2 linked regions of the Sus scrofa genome follow. The protein of the gene in region 2 binds, or shares a complex with, the protein of the main gene of each other region. Links are inferred from orthologs where the notes say so. Each region holds a gene or a part of one and is shown on either strand. Other genes may lie near its edges.

The links. Proteins that work in one complex are often made in the same cells at the same time.
Region 1: the proteins of RAI2 (region 2) and CTBP1 are in contact, whole or in part, in a cryo-EM structure (PDB 8ARI), measured with the Homo sapiens proteins. The link is inferred for Sus scrofa from reciprocal best matches to the Homo sapiens genes RAI2 and CTBP1. Residues at the interface, in NP_001166210.2 of Homo sapiens: Glu315, Ala316, Leu317, Asp318, Leu319, Ser320, Met321, Lys322, Trp326; in NP_001319.1 of Homo sapiens: Arg36, Cys38, Met42, Val51, Ala52, Phe53, Cys54, Asp55, Gln57, Gln60, Glu61, His63, Val66.

What each region holds. Positions count from the first base shown.
Region 1 is NC_010450.4:471,714-481,957, forward strand, and holds the end of CTBP1 (C-terminal-binding protein 1), read right to left. Parts: intron 8,943-10,244; coding exon 8,798-8,942; intron 8,238-8,797; coding exon 8,031-8,237; intron 6,692-8,030; coding exon 6,477-6,691; intron 5,826-6,476; coding exon 5,695-5,825; intron 5,325-5,694; coding exon 5,197-5,324; exon of another isoform or gene 4,715-5,196; coding exon 4,597-4,714; intron 4,403-4,596; coding exon 4,402-4,402; intron 4,361-4,401; coding exon of another isoform or gene 4,358-4,360; coding exon 4,175-4,357; 3' UTR 3,457-4,174; downstream 1-3,456. Other genes in the region: uncharacterized protein LOC110262036, read left to right, coding at 189-998. UniProt on the Homo sapiens protein: Corepressor targeting diverse transcription regulators such as GLIS2 or BCL6. Has dehydrogenase activity. Involved in controlling the equilibrium between tubular and stacked structures in the Golgi complex.
Region 2 is NC_010461.5:14,242,801-14,252,334, reverse strand, and holds the end of RAI2 (retinoic acid-induced protein 2), read left to right. Parts: intron 1-3,571; coding exon 3,572-5,191; 3' UTR 5,192-5,559; downstream 5,560-9,534.

The DNA of each region.
Region 1 (10,244 bases), on a different chromosome or scaffold from region 2:
TCCGTGCCGTGACCCAGGCTGGCCTGGACACCATGGGCCAGGGGAGAGGCCCGTGGGGCAGCCAGGGGGGTGCTACGGGGACAGGGGGGCGGGTGCTGGTCCCGGGGAGCGGGAGGCGGGTCCCTGGTGGGGGGGGAGCTCCCGGGAGCTGGGCGCCGGCCCAGAGGACCAGATGGTTTTCTTCACAGGGGCAGGAGTCCGGAAGAGCCTTGCAGCTGGCCTCATCTCCGTGCTTCTCCCTGATGTTGTTTTTTGCTGGAAAATCCAGCCTGCAAAGCCAGCTGGGCGCCGGCCCGGAGCAGCTGGGGCCAAGCGGCCGGTGCTCTGGCAGATGCAGGCTTGATGCCTCTTCCTGCCTCCTCCGGGCCCAAAGCTGGTGGGGGCAGCAGCGAAGGGGCCTGGCCAGTGGATACCCGAGGCCGCAAGGAGAGCGCCCGCCTCCCTGCTCAGGCCACCCCAGGAGAAAAGTCCCCAAACTCCCGCAGAGCCCAGCACATCCGCAGATCCTGGCGACGGGCGTCCACTGCCGTCCCCATGGCCCTGAGCCCCTGACCAAGGACCACGGCAGCGGCAGACTTGATGCGGGTGGGAGCAGCAGGGGGTGTGCCGTCCTCCCGACCCAGCCCCTCCTGGGATGGAGCCCACGGGGCCACGTGGGGCCACGCAATTTCTCCTTCGTGGTCTATGCCTCGGCAGTCCTGCGGGTTAACCAGCCCTTGCGCCCCCACCGCCACCCCGAGGCGCGCCCTCCACAAAGGGGCCAGTCCTTTCCCCTCGGCTCCGGCCGCCCCGCTCCGTTGCGCGGTTGCAGGCAGGCGCGCACGCACACCCAGCCAGCTGTCCTCGGTGTCTCTTCCCTGGGGTGCCCGCCTCTGTCCCTGGGCTCCGTCCGATTTTCCTCGTGCCTGGGTTTCACAGCCCCCAACTCACAGACCTCCCCCCTTCGTCCACATTCACTGGGAGAGAAGAACTTGCTGACACAAGAGCTGCAGTTTTGACGGGGTCAGAGCATGTGCGCTTCCCGTGTTACCCCTCCCCCAGCCGCCAGCACCGACGGGTGGTTGTCCCGCCGGCGCCTTGCTGACTCCCAGGCTGCTGGAGTCGCGCGGTGGCCACTCCGGGTCTTCAGAAAACAAGCAAAGTGGGGGAGGGCTCTGCCGTGTGCACGGCCTTCCACGTCCCGGGGTGACCTCGAGCTGCCCCTGCGAACAGCCCCATCCTCCCCTCCTACCTGCTTCGTGTGCTTCGCGGGTCCAGTGGCGCTTTCTGTGCAGGTGCCGCTGGCACACGTGGGCGGCTTCTCGCTGCCCTCCCACTATTCCTGCCTCTTCCCCCTGCTCCCACCTCGTCCTGGGCATCTGGTGGAGGACAAAACAGACCACACGCCGCCCTCCTGAAGCTCACGCTTCTGCAAAGGCAGTTAGGTGAAAAAAGGCTCGCGTTCGACTGTAAACAGGGCTTCAGCTCTGAAGCATAAAGAGGTCAGCAGCGGTGAGTCCTGTCCTGAGGATGGAAAAATCGACAGGGTTCCTGGATCCACCCCAGAGCCGAAGTCGCAGGGCAAATGGCCACCCTGAAATCTGGGGAAAGAGGCACGGGGGCTGAGACAGGGAGGACGCCTCTGCCGGGGACAGTGGGGACCTGCGGGGGGCTGGGCAGGCGGGAGAGAGAGAGACTGGGGGACAGAAAGCCTCTCCATCCCCCAGGGGCCCGGCCCCCACCCAACCCACGCCCGGGGCCCCGTGCGTCACCTCGACTGGCTGTGCAGGTCACGCCCCGGGCGCGGCTCAAGATGAGTCTGGACTGTCTTTTTCTTTCTGGAATTTTTAATCAGAGTCAATGCCATGTCCCAAAATGACTGGAGGAGGCGGTCAGTGGGACATCAGAGGTGTTTCTTCTTTAAATGTTTGTTAGGATTGACCACTGAAGCCATTTGTAATCTCTGAGGAAGTGTTTTTGTTTTTTTTCAGGTTCCACTTTTTCTTTCTCGGCTGCGCCGGTGGCACGTGGAAATTCCTGGGCAGGGATCAAACCCGCCCCACGGTTGTGACCCGAGCTGCTGCGGTGACAGTGCTGGGTTCTTAACGGCTGCGCCATGAGGGAACACCTTAAGTTCGATTTCTTTTCTTTTCTTTCTTTCTTTCTTTTTTTTTTTTTCTGCTTTTTAGGGCCGCACATGTGGCATATGGAGGTTCCCAGGCTAGGGGTCCAATCGCCACAGCCACAGCAACGTGGGATCCGAGCCACATTTGCCACCAACACCACAGCTCCTGGCAACGCTGGATCCTTAACCCACAGAGCGAGGCCAGGGACCGAACCTGCACCTCATGGTTCCTCGTCCGGTTCGTTAATGCTGAGCCACGACGGGAACCCCTTGAGTTCAATCTCCTAAAGTTATAGAGCCCTTCAGATCCCTTACTTGGTTTTAGCTCAAGTGTGGTTTCCACCCCTTCTAAACTTTCTCCGGACAGTTGGGCCCCCGCCCCGCGTCATTCCCCTGACCTCGGGAACGGGTCGCCCTCCTTCTCACTTCGGACCCTCACTGCACTTGTCTTATTTATTTTACTACCTACTAAAGCGCTGTTGAACTTGACACTCTCTACGGTGCCTTCTAGGACCCATTCCAGGTTGACGCCTATTATTTATTCACACCCGTAGTTCACAGCCTGATCCTGTCCCTCTTCTTCCGGCTGCTTTTGCAACACGGACGCGTGTGTCTGGATCTCGGCTTCTGTTCTCTCCTGAAGCGGGTACCGAAGCTCTCAGCCTCTCCATTACCAGCTCCCAGCTTGTCATGCCGTCTTTTCCCTGCTGTTGACGACTCCCTGGAGGCCAGCGGGTCTCTGCAGAATTAACTCTCCCTGCACCCCAGGGATGACGGAGGGCAGAGCCGTGCCCTCCCAGCGGAAAGGACCACAGACGCAGGGCCGAGGTGCAGAGCAGAGCCCGGGGACAGGCGGCGTGCCACGAGGGGAGCTCACCCGTCAGGGCGTGGCCGGACCGAGGGTGCCCTCCAGAACCTTCCCACCGGCAGGGGTCTGTAGACGGCCGCTTGGCAGGACCACCAAGGACGCGGCCCTGGTGCAGGATCCGAGGGCAGTGGAGGCGGAGGACCAGCTGCAGCCGTGCTGGTGGCGGAGGGGACACGCGGGGGACGGGGTAGCCCCTGAGGACGGGAGGTGGTGCGAGGAGGACCAGCTGGTGCAGCCGGAGCGTCGGGACAGGCGTCCCGCGAGCTGCAGAGCCAGCGGCCTCTGCCGCCCTGGGGCGGGGGGTGGGGTGTGGGGGGGTCCCAGGTCCCAGGCTGCCCGAGGGCGCACCGCCTGCGTCTTCTGCAGCAGCAGGGTCACAGCCCCCCGGGCTCCCCACTGCAGGCCCAGGGCCACCACAGACGGGACGGAGACCCACCAGGGACCCGGGAAACAAAGCCGTGAACACAGACGCTGGGCGTGCCGGCTCTTTCTGGGATTTTTATTTCTTTAAAATAATTCATACAAATGGTTACAGTCACAAACATGATTTTAACCAAAATATTGCTAGCCTACCACATCAGCAGGACGGCTCCGCTCGGCGGGCGCGGGGCCCTGGCCCCCGGGGCAGAGGCGCACGCTCTGCCCGCCTGGCGGCGCCGCCTTCGTTTGGAACAAGGGGGTTCATGCCAAAATTAGGAAAGACAGCCTGGGTGTTGCTTTTCTAAATTATCCTAAAAATAAGACAAGCAGGTAGAAAAAACAATGCACTGTGTGGCGTAAAAAGAAAACCGGAGGGATTCATTGTCCTGAGAAGTTTGCCAACTGCCTGGTCCGGGGCGCGCGGCACTCACGGGGCGGCCTGGGCGGACGCCGGCGCTCCCGCGGGCGTCTCTGCCGACAGCTAAGCAAACAAATCCTTGTAATGTTCTAGAGACTGTGCACAGACGGGAACATTCATGACGGAATTAACTACGAACTGCTTTTGCTTAACAAGGACGCGAAGGACACAGGGCAGCGGCTGGCCCTCGGGACGGGACAACTACAGTGACGCGAGGAGGCCGGCGCCACCTCTCACCACCTGGAGCCCGGGCCATCTCTGGAGGCCGCGGCCGCCCGTCGGCGCTGCCCCTGCACACGCCTGTCCGAGGGCGCGGCCCCTTCGGCGCTTGCGGCGGCGGCGAGGCTTCGGAGCTCTGCCCGGGTTACAACTGGTCGCTTGCGTGGTCTCTATCCGCCTCGGGCTTGACGGTTTGGCCTGGAGAAGGCGCGTGGGGCGGGTGGGATACAGGGGGCAGGCCGTGGGACAGGGACATGGCGCTGGGGACAATGCCTTCGACTGCGGCTGGGATGCCACTGGGGGCCACGCCTACCACGCCCGGGGGTACCTGCTGGGAGAGGAAGGGCCGCAGGTGAGGCCGGGGGCAGGGACCCTGGGCTGTGGGCCCAGCGGAGACGGCGGCAGAGGCAGGTGGCGGCCTTGAAGGCACCCCCGCCCTGCCCCCTCCACGCCCCCCGGGGAACGCCCCCCAGGGAGCTGGTCTTGTGGCCACCAGGCCCCGAAGGCTGCCCCCACGCGTGTCACCCCAACCGTCCAAGTCCAGGCCCCCGCCCACCGGGGGCTCACCTGTAGGCGGCCCCGTTGAGCTCGGGGTGCACCACGGCTGGGTCCACGCTGGCCCAGTGGGTGGCTGCTGCCAGGTGGTCCTTGTTCACACAGTTCTTCAGGCTGTCAGGGATCCGGCCTGGAGACGGCACAGACAGGGACAGTGCCCACGTCAGCTGCCCCCAGGGGGACCCCAGGAGCGTGGGGGCTCGTCGGTGGCATGGGCCACCCCCCTAGGAGCCACAGGGGCCCCGAGGAGCACTCCCGAGGCACTTTGGGATCCTGCCTGTCTGGGCAGCGTCACCCTTGTGGCCCGGGGCCCCTCAGCTCATCAGGGTCTCCGAGCCCATCTGACGGGCCCGGGCATCTCCCGGAGAAGCTGGCAGGGCCCAGCCCAAGAGGTTCACAAGCACAAACCGCTTTTTAAAAGGCGGAGAAAAGATACACGTGCAGAAAGCCCTGTGGGACAGTGAGTGTCACGAGCGTGACACCAGCACCTGGGGCTGTGCGTGTGCAGGGGTCCCCCATGGGGGCTGGTCTCTGCGCAGTGTCCCCGCCAGCGGAAGATGGAGGCGGCCCCCACGAGGGCCTCGGGCCCACCCGCCGCCGGCCGCCGCCCACCTGTGATGGCTCTCCGGATCTCGCGGGCCGCCTCCTCCCGCATCTCGATGGAGGCCTGCTCGCTGTACCAGGCTGCGTGCGGGGTGCAGATCAGGTTGGGAGCGTCCTTCAGGGGGCCCTGGCTAAAGCTACACAGCACGGGGCAGTCAGAGCGCCCAGGCGGGCAGAGGGTGCCCACCCCGCCCAGAGCTGGAGCTACCCTCCGTCTCCCCGGCCCCCATCAGGCGCAGGGACGCGAGCATCCTGGCCCCGCAGCCCCCGAGACTCGGCCGGGCCCTGGGAGGAAGGTCTGCCTGCCACGGGACCTCAGGCTGGGGGCGAGGCCTGAGTCCTCCCGGGCCCTCGGACCCTCGGCGGCCTGAGGCCAGGACTGGAGACCGTGCATGGGCAGTGGGGCCACCCCCCGCCCCCCCCGGCGCCGAGCAGCTCTGTGGCCAGCGTGGGGTGCGAGCCGGGGCAGGGGGGATCTCGGCGACGCCAGGGCGTCACGGGAAGCACCTGAAGGGCTCCGACTCGTGCACGTCCAGGGCCGCGCCGCGGATCCGCCCCTCCTTCAGCGCCTGGGCCAGCGCCTTCTCGTCCACCAGGCCGCCCCGGGCCGTGTTCACCAGGAAGGCCCCTTGTCTCATCTGGAAGACAGAGACCGTGTGACCTGAGGACCCTCCCCAGACCCAACTTCACCCCCAGACCAGCTGCTGCAGGGCTCGGCTGCTGCCCCTCGGTTCAGGTGGCTCTTCTCGTCCCTGTGGGCTCCCGCCCGTCCTGGCCTCACGCCACGGTCCCCGCTGCTGTCCCCCCAAGGCCCCAGCGGCTGCCTGGCCCTAGTCACTAGCCCCACTGTCCACGGGCAGACAGCACACACACCCGTCCCCACACACACACGTGCCCACAAGTGTCCGTAAGCACACCTGCACCAGGCAAGACCCCAGCACACGCCAACATCTGCACAACCTACACGCACAGAACGGCCGGCGCGTGAACAGTGTACACGCGCGGCCACACGCGCGCTCACACGTAAACACAGGACATGTGCACACACACGTGGGTGGGAGTCGTCACCCAAACTTCTCCACCGCACGCGGGTGCGCTGTGCCTGCAAACACGCGCTGTGCATACAGCCACCTGGAAGGCCCGGGGCCATCGGGTCAGGGAAGGAGGCCCCAGGATTCGGGGGGCCCGGTGGGGGCGGTGGCACCAGCAGACCGGCCACCAGAAGCCCGTCTGCCCCTGACCTCGTGCGCCCAGGCTGCACCCTCGCCCCGTGGCCGCCGCCCCGAGACCTGCTTGACGGTGAAGTCGTTGATGAGGTGGTGGTTGTGCTCGTTGAGGCCGCAGTGCAGGGTCACGCAGTCGCTGTGGAAGAGCAGGTCCTGCAGGGTGCTGACCCGCTGCAGCCCCAGCGCCCGCTCCGTGCCGTCCGCCAGGTAGGGGTCGTAGAAGAGCACGTTGAAGCCGAAGGCCTTGGCCCGCAGCGCCACCGCCTGCCCCACGCGACCTGGGGGGACAGGGTGTCACCGCAGCCCCGCCTCGGCTGTCCCGGCTCCCCAGGGCAGGGGCTCCACTCCCAGATGCAGAGGGCCACCGAGGCGGGCCAGGGGCTGCAGGCTCAGGACCGGCCCCGCGCCCTGGAGCCCGGGCCCCTGACCTCAGCTGCTGAGAAGGACACAGGGGCTCAGGGTCCCTCCTCCAGAAGGGACTCTGCCCTGGTGACCACGGGCTGCCACAGTGGAGGCAAAGCAGGGGACCTGGGCAGGCCAGGAGCCGGGAGGGGTGCCACGCCAGGGCTCTGCTCCTGGAGGACGCGCTGCCTCTCGGGCCACAGCAGCCCTCAGGGGACCGCTCTGCTCTGGGCAGCAGGGCACCTGGAAGCAGGCACTGGGCGTCCTGGGAGGGGTGGGGCGCGGGCCGGAGCAGAGGCTGGGGCTGCGGTGCCCAGCGCTAGTTTAGCACGGCCTCCGGGACCTCCCACTCGGCTGGCTGGTCACCTTTACTTTTCATTTTTTCTCTCTTTATGGCCACGCCCACAGGAGTGACCCAAGATGCTGCCGTGACAACGCTGGATTCTGAACCTGCTGCCCACGAGGGAACTCCTGCGGCTGGTCACCTTTGGACCGGGCACCGAGACCCCTGAGCAACACCGCCTGGGGGTGATGTGGCCCAAAGCCATTTGTCCAGGCAAACCGTCCCCCAACATGCCACGTGGGCCGGGCTGTCCCTGCTCTCACACCTCACAGGGCTTGGAGGTGGCAGGGCTGTGGGGCTCGTACCAGCCCCAGCGTCCGCGTGCGCACGCCTGGTGCATCAGGGAGCAGCGCTGGGGAGCGACACCGCGGCCCACAGGCAGCCAGGGCCCTGACCCCTGCACCAGCGCAGGCGCCTCTGCCCCCCACGCTCCCCTTGGCCACGGAAGGCGGTGCCGCGGTGGAGGGCCGGAGCCTGTGGGAAACCAGGAGGATGGGTGCCCGGGATCTGCGGGGAGGTGGCACAGAAGAGGGTGGACGGTGCCACGTGACCTCAAGCGCAGGCGCTCCTGCCCCTCAGGCCGCAGGCCCCTCCCTCCACACTGGCCCTCACCACCCGGCACCTCTGCCCCCAGCACGTCCCCACCCCCCGGTGTGCTGCCTGGCAGGAGGCCTGGGCTGGCCCAGGGCCGGGCCGGTGCCCCTTCAACATCTGTGTGCACGTGGCCACGCCTGCGCTTCCAGGTCAGACCTGCCCGCCCGCGCTGCCCCATCTGGGAACCATCTGGGGCGGGGGCACTTGGCCGCACAGCTGAGCCCCGGCCTCTGCCACAGGGGAGCCACACACGGGGCGTGAGGGGCGGGGGGGCGCACCTAATCCGATGATGCCCAAGGTCTCCCCGCGGATCCTGGCGGCCCCGGAAGCCACTTCTCGGATCTGCTCGACGCTCTGGACCCGCGTGCCCTCCCGCAGCGCCTGGTGCAGCCACGTGGTCCTGCGGTACAGGTTGAGGATGTGGCACATGGTCGAGTCAGCGGTCTCCTCCACGGACGCGGCTGGCACATTGCACACCGCGATGCCTGGGGACACGAGACACACGGGGGCGTCACTGGAGGCCACGTCCCCGGCAAGCCCCTGTCCGCACCGCCTGGGGTCCCGCGGGCGGACAGGCTGGGGAACAGGAGGCGGGACCGCACACGTCGCCATGGCAGCGGGGCCACCCTGAGGGAGGCTCTAGGCCCCCGGCAGCGCCCGGCATGTCCTCGCCCGCCAAGGCCGTGACTGGACCAGAACGTCATGGAGACGGAGCCGGAGACGGGACCGAGCGCGCCCCAGGCACGAAGACACTCGCGTGTGTCCCGGGTTACAACGTACCTCCTTTGCCCGACCCGACCCCCGTCTCCTCCGCCCCAGGGAGGTGGGCTGTGCAGACGGGGTGCACCACCCACACAGCTCGGCCTGAGGGATACCAGTGCCACCCGACGGGGCTGGCGTGGGGCCTGCGGCCCGCCTCCAACCAGGCAGGCTGCAGCCGGATCCGCCTCCTCCCGGTAAAACGGACGGACAAGACAGAAGGTGACGTGGTCTCGGTGAGGACAGAGCCTAAGGCTGCAGAGACCAGGGTCCGGGGCCGTCCTACCCAAGTCCCCGGCTGACTTGATGTCGATGTTGTCGAAGCCGCTGCCGATTCGGACGATGATGCGAAGGGCCTTGAACTTCTCCAGGTCCTCCCGGGTCAGGGTGATGGTGTGATACATGAGCGCGCCCACGGCCTCGTTCAGCACCTGCACAGGGACAGTGCGCTGAGCCGAGGCCGCCAGGGAGTCCGGCCGGGCCTGCGGGCGCTGCAGGCCCCCCGGGAGAGGCCGCCCAGAGCCCCCTCGAGAGGCCCGTGGGGCCCGCAGGGACGGCCCTGACTCGGCACAGGCTTCTCAAGGACACAGAGGGTCCATCGGCACAGGCAGCGCTCGGCACGCTGCCCTCTCCTCGGCCACCGGACTCCAGGCCAGAGCGGGTGGGAGCGGGGAGCACGGGGGCCCCAGGCAGCAAGACCACAGACCTGAAAGGCGGGCAGCACCTCGAGAGCTGCTTCCGGAAGGAGGCAGCCACGAGGCCGCAAGGCCACTTTGAGCTGCCCAGTCCCCATGCAGCGAACACCCCAGTGGGCGTGGCGCCCCTTTCCTTGTGTGGGGTGGGCAGTGTGGCCTTGTGGTGACCGTGCAGGAAGCCTGGCCTCCAGACGGCGCGGGGCGGCCCAGGGCGGTAGGTCACTCCTCTGGGAGGAGTGAGGAGCTGCCACGGCCCCTGCGCACCACCCACCGCGCCACGGACCTGGGGGGTCGCCTCCCTGAGAGGAGGGTTCCCGAGTGGGGCTGGGCTCTGTGCACCCAGGCCCAAGAGGCAGACCTTGCCAGCTGTGACCCCAGTGAGGCCCGGCTGCCTCTGTGTCCCTCGAGCACGGCCGGGGCTCCAGGCCTGAGGGAATCCACGGCCAGTGCAGGGCTCCGGGGCACCTGCCCAGGCAGGGTGCTGTGGTCTTGGGGGGCCACTCCAGGTGAAGCCCACTGGGCCCCCAAGAGTCTGGCTGGCACAGGGAAGAGGTCCCCCCTCAGTGCAGCCCAGAGCCAGTGCCAGCCTGCCTGTGTGTGGCACCCCTAGTTCCCAGGGGCATGCCCAGCTCCACATGGAACGGATGAGGGTGGTGCAGGTGCAGGAAGGTGGAGGCCATACTCCAGGGCAGCGAACAAAGCCCACGGGGTCCGCCAGGCCTCCCCGGGCCAACGGCCAAGGGTGCAGGGTAACCTGACCTCTGGGCCCAAGGGCAAGGGCTGCGGAGCCCGGGCCACCCAGCCAGACACTCCTGTGACCCAGGACAGGTCCCAGTTTACTCCCCCCGACAGGACAGTGTAATCAGGGACGTCTCTTGATACGTGAGACCCAGGAACCCGTGGCTGACATACCTGCTGCCCTCCCCTCCGGCCCGAGCTTCCTCTGCTGACCCTGGGCTCCCTGCAAGAGTGGCTGCTGGACACAAGGGCCCATGTGTGAGCCAAGGAAGCCGCGCGGACTGTGGCTGATGTGGGGGG
Region 2 (9,534 bases):
CTCTGCTTGAGCATTAGTTGGTCGCTCCCGGGACACTCCTTGATCTGAAGAGGCCCCCTGCGCGCACCTCCCCCGCGTCCATCACTAGGGGACAGGCCTCCATCTTCTCTCCGGTCATTATCTGGCTTCCGAGGGGACGGAAACTCGCTCTCTGAACACTCCCTTGCTGAGCTGCTTGTTCTCCTCAGGGCATCACTGCGGCTTCCAGCATTAGCGCCTGCAGCGGGGACACCCGCTCAGGCCCCCCAGCTGCTGACCCAGAGTTGGGGAGGAGCAGAGAGAGGGGCAGAGCCCCCCGTGGAAGGCAAGAGGGTACAGGCCAGGTAGCCCTGGGCCCCGCAGGTCACCTGAGGGGGGGCAGGGCTTCTGAACACGGTGGGGGAACCAAGCCTCCATTCAGCCAGCCAGCGGCCTACTTGGGCTGAGTCAGCCGGTTGGTCCAAGGCTGTCATGTGGGAGGAGGCAGGAGTGAGACTTTGGCCCCAGGCCCCTGAGAGGCCATAGCTGCTCAGACCCACCCGCATCCCAGTCTTGCCTGCATCCCAGCCTTGCCTGCATCCCAGCCTTGCCTGCATCCCAGCTGGCCCCAGCAGTTCCCAGAGGCTAGTGTTCCCAGCAGGGGGTCAGATGGCCTCCCTGGAACCCGCGGGACTGGACGTGCCCTCCCTCCCACGTGACATCTGTCTCGGGAAGGCGGGTGGGGTGGCGGGTAGCTGGTGGTAGGCTGGGTGGACGGAGGCCTCCTAGGCCTCCGCTAACAGAACCGTGGCTGCTTGGGGCTGCGCTCCCCAAGGACAGAACCCCTGGTGATCCTTCGGCTCCTCTATGGCAAGAGGGACAGAGGAAGGCTCTGGTGGAGGAAAGAGCACGAGCAGACAGTTCAGTGATCTTTTGGAAAGGGCCTGGCCGCCCCTCGTAAGAACTCTGAGGTTCGCCTGCCTCCTCACGCACAGCTCTGCAGTCGCATGTGCTCCGTACTGACAGGGAGGATGCCCGGTCGCTTCCGCCAAGAGACAAAAATGCATGGAGGGGTGTGGCCCTCCCAGCTCCCGAGAGACGAAGGAACCCGGGGTTGACCCTGAGGTCTAATCGCAGCCTCAGTGCACCCTTGAGTGAGGTATCTATCCTTCCTGGGAGATCACTTTTCTCACCAATAAAATGGGCCCAATCATAGGACCCCTCCTGTAGGGTCGTTCTGAGCGTCGAAGGAAGTAACGCGTGGGAAGTCCTCAGCAGAGGGCATGGCGCATGGCACATGCTCTGCAAGTTTTGGCTTCTTCCATCTGCGAGAGGAGCAGGGGCCCGTGGGAGGTCCGTTACTTTGGCTCCTCACACCCTGAGCAGGAAGGTTCTGCAGGATTAGCAGCCCTAGAACCAGGGCCAGGGAGGGAGAGGCGTGCGGTTGCACAGGAAGAGATGCAAGCGGCCACCTGAGCTGAAGGTGGGTGCCGGGGCAGGTGGCAGAGGCGTGGAGAAGTGTGCCTTCTTGCTCTTGGCAGTGGCGGGGGGCACATCTGGAAGGTATAACCCATCATGAGAAAGCAGTCTCACAGCTGGATCATCCCAGACTCCCAGGAAGCACGGAACAGTCCTTGCCCCGCTGACCTGCCTTGGAGGCTCTCCGATGCCACCTCACAGGGCTGGTCATGGGATCCTTCTCTGACGGCTGCAGTGCTTGTCCGCACGAGCCCTGCCCAAGCTTCCTTTCATCCTTTTGTCACCTGCCCTGAAGAGTTCTGGCCACTCAGAGGGACAAGGCAGACCTTCTGTGGGAGCCCTTAGGAGCTCAGAGCCTTCGAAGGGCTGCTCCTGAGTGGCCGATAGCTCTGTCCCACCAAGGCTGATGCTTCTTCTCTCCTGGCTTCGCTCTGAGGCTTCTGCATGCCGGCTGGTCTCTTTCCGATCAAAGACACGCTCCCCCTCGTGATTAGAATCCCCGTGAACACCGGAGCCTCATCTGTGTCGCTCATGGCAGCATCCCCAGCCCTCAGCAGAGCCTTGGCGTGCTGTAGGCATTCAGCAGATGGATTGGTCGGATAAGTGGTGTGTTGGAGGCATGGCATTTTCTGGGCTGAATCGGGGAGCACTCCTCTCAGAAAAAACAGGCCCTTCAAGCTGGGGCAAGTCCCCTCCAGCTCCCTGGGGGCAGGCTTCCTCCCTACGCTGCCCTAGGGGCATCGCTGGCCAGCAGGCTGGGCCACCTCGCAGGTTCATTGCTGCGGCGCACCTTGCCCCCCACCCCGCCCCGCTTCCTCCTGCTTCAGAGAAACTCCTTGTTCTGTGTACGTGACATATTTTGATTGTCTGGAAGCATCACTGAGTGGTTCATCTGTTAAAGCTGCCCTCCCATAGTGAGGCCTCATTTACTTACTTCTAATCCCATGGTGTGCTGGGCCGCCTCTCTTGTCTTGGAAGTCGCGTTGGTAGTTTCGGGGTGAGAGGAGAAGGATGAGTTGACCACCCGATGAAATTCTAGACTCCTGAGACAGGTGAGGTCAAGCCTTGGAGTTGCCCGAGGCCCGCCCAGCAAGACTGAGGATTATTGAATTATTATTGAGCCCCACCAGACGCCAGGGCGGCACAGATCCCCGAGTTAGACATGGTGCCTGCCTTCTCCATGGCAACAAGGCTAAATATGGACGCGTTTCCATGGAGAGCCATCTTGCAGCTGCAGCCCTGCTTCCTCCAGGAAGTACCCGCGCTGGGCTCCCTTGGCCTCTCAGGAGGCGGCCAGAGGTGCCCCAGACATCAAGAAAGCATGGCTCACCCTTGAGGATGTTTGGTTCCAACCAGCGTTCCATTTCCCCAGCCCTGGATCCATCAGCATCCCCTCTTCTGGACACCTAGAACTTAGGAGAGGTCACGGGTCAGACAGACGAGCTCCCTGGGGCAAGTGACACTTGACTGATGAGCACTCATGGGAGTCATCCCTTCCTCACCTTGCTCCTTGGAGCGGCTCTCACTCGTACTGGAGGAAAGGGAGCTGTCATTGGTCGAAGGGTGACAGCTGTAATGACCGTTGTGTAAATACACCGCCGCTCCCCTCCTCAAGCCTCTTTTGGAAGAATTATTGCTGCTTCAAAGCGTTTTTTAAATGGTTTCCATAATTGGGATGGCCCCCTTCCAAGGTCATAGAATATTCCAGTGTGACAGGGTTCTGCTTTTTTTCTTAAAGGACACCACGTCTTGGCTGCTGCTTTGGATTTGAACCAGTCTAGTCTCCGCCTATCTTAAGGGTCCGACACAGCACCGGGGAGCCACGCTCTGTGTTTGTGCCAGGCTGAACCTCCAAGCTGAGTGCTGGGTTTTGCGATACTCTGTTTAACCTCACTCGGCTATGTAGTCATTACATCATCTGTGCTTATCGTTTAATCGTCTGTTAAATTGGGGCCGTCCACGCACAGCTGATCAGACGGGTGTGTTCGTGTATGTTGGGAACGATCCGTGGCGTGCCCGTGTACACAGAGAGACGGGTGTGCTCCCCGGCTCCCTGAGATACCGAGAGAGCTCTTAAACCGTGGATGTGCGTGGTCTCTGAGGGACGATTCCGATTGTGTGTTCTGTGTTGCAGGCCAAGTGGCATCAGAGCCGAGTGATGGATGACCTGCAGTCCCAGAACCTGTCCATGGACATGACCGACTCGGCCCCCGCCTTGGCCAGCAACCGCCTGGAGAATGGCATGGCCCAGCTGATCACCACCGAGGCCTGGAACATCAACTCCACCGACCTGGTGAAGAAGGCCCTGGTGACCGTGCCGGCGCCGTCCATTCTGAACCCGCCGGCCGAGTCCCAGAGCGGCATGGCCCTGAAGGTGGCGGCCACCGTGCTGCAGCCCCTGTGCCTCGGGGAGAGCCCGGTGGTGATGCCCATTCACATGCAAGTGGAGGGCAGCTCGGCGCCCGAGCTCAACCCCAACGGCAACGCCACCTACGTCATGACCACGCAGGGCCCCGTCCAGCTGCCGGTGGTGCTGGAGCAGCACGTCTTCCAGCACCTCAACTCGCCGCTGGTCCTGCCCCAGGAGGCCCCGTGCTCCTCCGGCGCCGTCCACAGCAACCTCTTCCAGGGAGCCGAGGACCCGGAGGCGCAGCCCCAGCTCCTGGACCTGAGGATCCCCAGCCAGCCGCAGGAGCCCAGCCTGCCCTTCGAAGCCGTGCTCCAGAATCTGTTTCCCTCGCAGGGCGCTCTGGGCCCCCCACCCTGTCAGCCTCCTCCGGGCTACGCCCCCGTGCCCCCCCAGCCCTTTAACGCCCCGCTGTCGCCCCTGGTTCCGCCGGCCACCCTCTTGGTGCCCTACCCCGTGATCGTGCCCTTGCCGGTGCCCGTCCCCATCCCCATCCCCATCCCCGTGCCTCAGAGTTCCGAGTCCAAGTTCAGCCCCGGCTGCCCCAAGGCGCCGTCCTCCTTCGGCCTCCAGCCCTTTAGGGGCGGCCCGCCCGCCGTGCAGAAGGAGGAACTGAAGCCCTTCGAGCTCCTGCAGCCGCGGGAGTACTTCCAGCTCAGCCGCCACACCGTCATCAAGATGGGCAGTGAGAACGAGGCCCTGGATCTCTCCATGAAGTCGGTGCCCTGGCTCAAGGCTGGCGACGTCAGTGCCCCCGCCTGCCAGGAAGACGCGGCCCTCGACCTGTCGCTAGCAACCCACCGGCGATCGGAGCCCCCGCCACCGCCGGAGACACTGTGTGACAGCAGCGGGGCGGTGGATGGCCCCGGTCACGCCGCGATGGAGACACCGCCCGGTGGTGGTGTGGAAGTGCCCTTTGCCCCCGCCACACCCCACGAGGCCGCCGCCGCCGCCGCAATGGAGAGGCACCTGGGCGGCAGTGACGCTGCCGAGCCCCCTCGCCAGCCCAGCGGCGAGGTCAAGGCTGAGAATAACATTGAGCTCGGGAGCGAGTCCCAGGCGGCCAAAGTGATTGTCTCCGTGGAAGACACTGTGCCCACCATCTTCTGTGGCAAGATCAAAGGCCTCTCGGGGGTGTCCACCAAGAACTTCTCCTTCAAGAGAGAAGACGCCATGCTCCAGGGCTACGACATCAGCAGCCAAGCGGAAGAGTCCGCGGGCAGCGCGGAGCCCCTTAGGAAACCCATCAAAAACCGGAGCATAAAGTTAAAGAAAGTGAACTCCCAGGAAATACACATGCTCCCCATCAAAAAACAACGGCTCGCCACCTTTTTTCCCAGGAAGTAAATAGTGGCTTTTTAAAATTTTTATGATTATAATATGGGGAAAGGTGCATTGGTTTTATAAAAAGGCATTTAAAACAAATTATCTTTGTTAATTATTTGGGGGAGTAGTTGGGGAGCGGGAATGTGAATTGGCTGTAGAGGCCCTGTAAGCTAGTATCATTTTCTTTTTTAATTTTTGACTTTTCACAAATGAGTAAATAAGAGCAACCTATTTTTCAAGCAGATTGCACATTTTTTGCAGCTTTAATGGAATATTGGGTGAATCAGAGGGGTAAAAAAGCTATTTTCATTGCCACCAAGTGCTTTGATGATGTAATACCTAATAAAGGGTAGGATGACTATTTCACAATAAATGTTTGTTTGCACTAATTGGTTGCAGTATCCGATCATTTCTAAAATTTGCCTTCCTTAACTGGCATGGTTTGGCCCAAACTCGCCTGTACAGCCTGGCCCGTTAACCCCTGTTTGGAGACCCAAGTTCTCCAGGCACACTGGGCATACCGGGCAAAGAAGACTCGTACTGGCCTGTGGCCTCGGAAAAGGATGATTAGAAATACGGATGACCCTCCCCTTCTGGCCTCTTTCTTCGTTCGTAAAATGAGGCAAAGAGAGGGGGTGGTAGCCAAGGCCCCTGCGGTTCACAGAGACCCTGGATGTGCAGAGTTGTATGTCTGAAATCTTCCACAGACTAAAACAGACAAGTGCTTCGAAAGGAAAATGTACCTGCTTCCCCCCTCCTCCCCTCCCCGAATTTAACTGGAAGGACTTTCTTTTCAAGGGCCGTGGGATCCTTGTGCTGGATGACTGAGAAGCCCTGCAGGTCAAAAGCGTTACCAAAGGCCACTCAGAACAAGAGGAGAGTCGGTGGATTAGGAGGTAATCGCAGAGAGGTTCCCGGCCCTGGGGAGCGGGGCTTGGGAGCGGGGTCGAGGAGGGAGGCGATAGCCTTCCCTGGTTCCTTTAGCCCCGTGGTTCTTACGTCGGGGCGACGGTCCTCCCCGGGGGACATCCAGCAATGCCTGGAGATGCTTTTGGTTGCCGCGCTTGGGGGAGGGGGTGCTCCTGGCGTCTGGTGGGGAGACCAGGATGCCGCGAAGCCTCGCGACAGGACTCTGGGCAGCCCCCAGAGCCGAGAGCCATCCAACCCCACTGTCAACGGCGCCGAGGCCCAGAGCCCGAGGTGAAACGGTTTCTGGAGGGACAGAAGCGATGCTCCTGGAGGAAGAGAAGAGCGCAGAGCCACCCACGCCGGGGAGGAGCTGTGAGTGTACACGGAAGGCAGACCCGCTAGGCGGCGCACCCCACTTGCCTATGAGACCCCGCTGGCGCGCGGGCGGGCCTGCCTTTCACCTCGGAGCTCGCCCTTTCACTTCTTGCCATTCGGATGTATCCAGCTGTTACTGTGATCAAGAGCCGGAGGGAAAGCGGTTGCCAGACTGTTCTTTTATGGCCAGGCCCTCCGTGTCTAGGGTGACGGTTTGAGCTGGTCCCGTCCCATATACCCAGCGTGGCTTTTCTTTTTCCTGTTCTTGGCCTGTGTTGTTAGCATGTCTTTTTCAAAGTGCGACACAGGCATAAATCGTTGTTTCTTGTGAGGCCGACTCGTTCCATTCCCCTAGCACCGGCCAGACCCCCTCCTTTCAGCTTCTCCGTGAGGCTGTCTTTTTCCGTTTCGACTCCTCTGGTGGGTTCCTGGCCGTTTCCTGAGCCCGGGATGTGTGTTCCACTTTCAAATACAACCAGCACAGATGCGCCCGCCCGGGGACTAGCGTTTCCCATTCACCTGCTGTCTGGTTCTCACCAGGTTTGCGGTCGTTTCTGCTGCCCCCGCCGTGTCGGGCAGCTTTTCTCCAACAGCCAGCAGGGCCCCTGTCCTCGCAGTGTCCTGGGAAAAGCTGCTGCTTATCTATCCGGCTCTGAGGGAAGCGAAGTCTCGGTTTGCCCCTTGGATGCTCGTGCTTAAAGCTGAGAGGCGCACAGGTGGAAAGGAAGGCCTGTGGAACCCGGAGTCACATTATAAACATCGAGCTACGCATTTCCCTGTGTTGTATCTGAAGATGCCCTTTTCTCTTCAGCTGTCGGCTCTGGTCGGGCAGGCCGGCCCCCGGCCCTGGAACAGGCCTCTCCTCCCGCCCACCCGCGGGCCTGGCACTGGGGTCTAAGCGAGGCCGTTGTCATGGGGACTGGCCGTAGCGTTGGGAGACTTGCCGGTTGAGATCCATGCAGGCCGAACACGGAGTGTCGTGATGGGCCCAGGGTCGCGTTCCCGAGGCAGCGACATCCTCGGTCCGCCCCCTCCCCCCTTCCCAGAATCGACCAGAATCTACTTGGCTAGGAAATCAGGAGAAGGGGCGACGGCCCTGTGCCCACAGCCAGAGTGAGCCTCGGGTTCCCTGGTGGCTCCGTTCCACCGGCCCTTCCTAGTCCCCAGCGGGCAGCCCTTCACACAAACCTCGAGGAAGAACCATCATCTTGGATCCATGGTTCCTGGACCCTCCGTGCGGTGCGCGTGGCGTCACAGGGGTGGCCACTGGCAAGCCCTCAGGCCCCATCATTGTTCCGCTCCATTCTGATTCAGCCAGCTGGGGTCACTCTAAGCTCCCCACAAATCACAACTGTCTCCAGCTCACGTCCTTCCACGTTTCAACCATGCAGGATTTCCAGGCTTTTTCTCTTGACTTAATTTCCCATCTCTTCTCAGAAACGGTGTCTTGGCCAACTAGTCTAAAGAACAGCTTTTCAGAGTCTTTTAGGAAATATGATTCGTCCCCAGGAATGTTGATGCTTGCTCAGACTTATCAAGATGGGTTCAGTTGGCTTCAGTTCAGAAATGATAAAAAAAAAAAAAAAAAAAAAAAAAAAAAAAAAAACTGGCATACGTTACTAAGATCCACATTTGGGGATGGTGATCCTCCTGGTAAAGTAAAAACTAGTTGATCTAGAGGGAAAAAAGAAAGATTTAAAAGAGGATACAGTGGCTGTCCTAACCAAGGAAGTCCTTGACAGTGAGTCGAAAATTCTCAAGCAAGGTCAAACATTTGTTTAGGTTCAAAGGCAAAACTGTCACACTTTTAAGCATGAAAAAATGTCTGCAATGCTGAAAAAAACTCCGAACTCCAAAAGAAGGAAGGGCGGGGGGGAGGAGGAAGGAAAGAAGGAAGGAGAGAGGGAGGAAGGGGAAAGGCTGCCGATTCCTGAGCGAGGCTGTCAATATAGTAATTATCTTTATAAATAGCCTAATTAATAAAACAAAGCAGGAAAGGATTTGGATCTCATTTGACAAGTGAGAAAATTGAGGCTCAGAAGAGTTTGCTGCTCGCAGCTTCTAAGCATCAACAACTCAAAAATATGTACTTTGCAATGATTCTTAAATATTGGGTTTGAAGCCCAATGAACCCACAGGAATTTGGATCCTTTGGGGGCAGAAACCAGTATGAATTAGTGAAGGGTCTGAGTTACAGATTTTTTTTTTCAATTAGTTTCAAGACCATTCCAGTTAACTGGAACGCCCAGAGCACTTGGCACCACGGTAAAGGGGGGATTTCAAGCTGAAGGATGCCGACGCCAAGCCTCTAAAAAGCCACACGCGAAAGTTGCTAAGCTGAAAACTTTAACAGCAGGGGAAAAAAAGCCTTAGAGGTCATTCTGGCCGGCTTTACTCCTCATTAAATAAAAAAGGCAATTTTCCAGAACAGCATACTACCAGCAGGTCAAATAACTGACCTCCCACTTCAGCGAAACGAAATAGGGTGTATTTGACGTCTTTAGGGTGCCATTGTAATAAATTGAGATTTGATTTTAATTAACATATGGGTGATTTTATAGTATGTAGTACATATGAGCACTCGAAAGAACTCGTTCCAAACTAGTGCAATTGTCCCACCTACCGCTGTTATTAGACCAGGGGATTTTTAAGCAAAATGGAGATTTCAGCTATGCTCTGCCAAAATTACGAACAAGTTCAAGTTAAAGAGGAGGAACTGGTGAGGTTGACTGTGTTAACCCAACTTGGAGGTTATTTTCCATCCAACTGTATTCGGTATAGACACTCACATAAAAGTGTAGGCTCACGCTGCTGGTAACCACGCGAAAGGACGCCTGGATCCTGTCCTCTCTCTGCTAAATCCTTTTTGTCACATCGAAGGGTTGGTAACCCGGTCAGTTAGTAAGAATGCGATGCACCCGTTGGTATGGATAGCACCATTGCTCTCAGTCCCAAAAGGCGTCGGGAATATGGAACACCGCACTGAACAGGCCAGATGCTCGGAGAGCAGGGACTGAATCTTAATTTATCTCAAGGCTCCTCCACCTCGGCACTGTTGGCATCCGGGACTGGATGCTTCT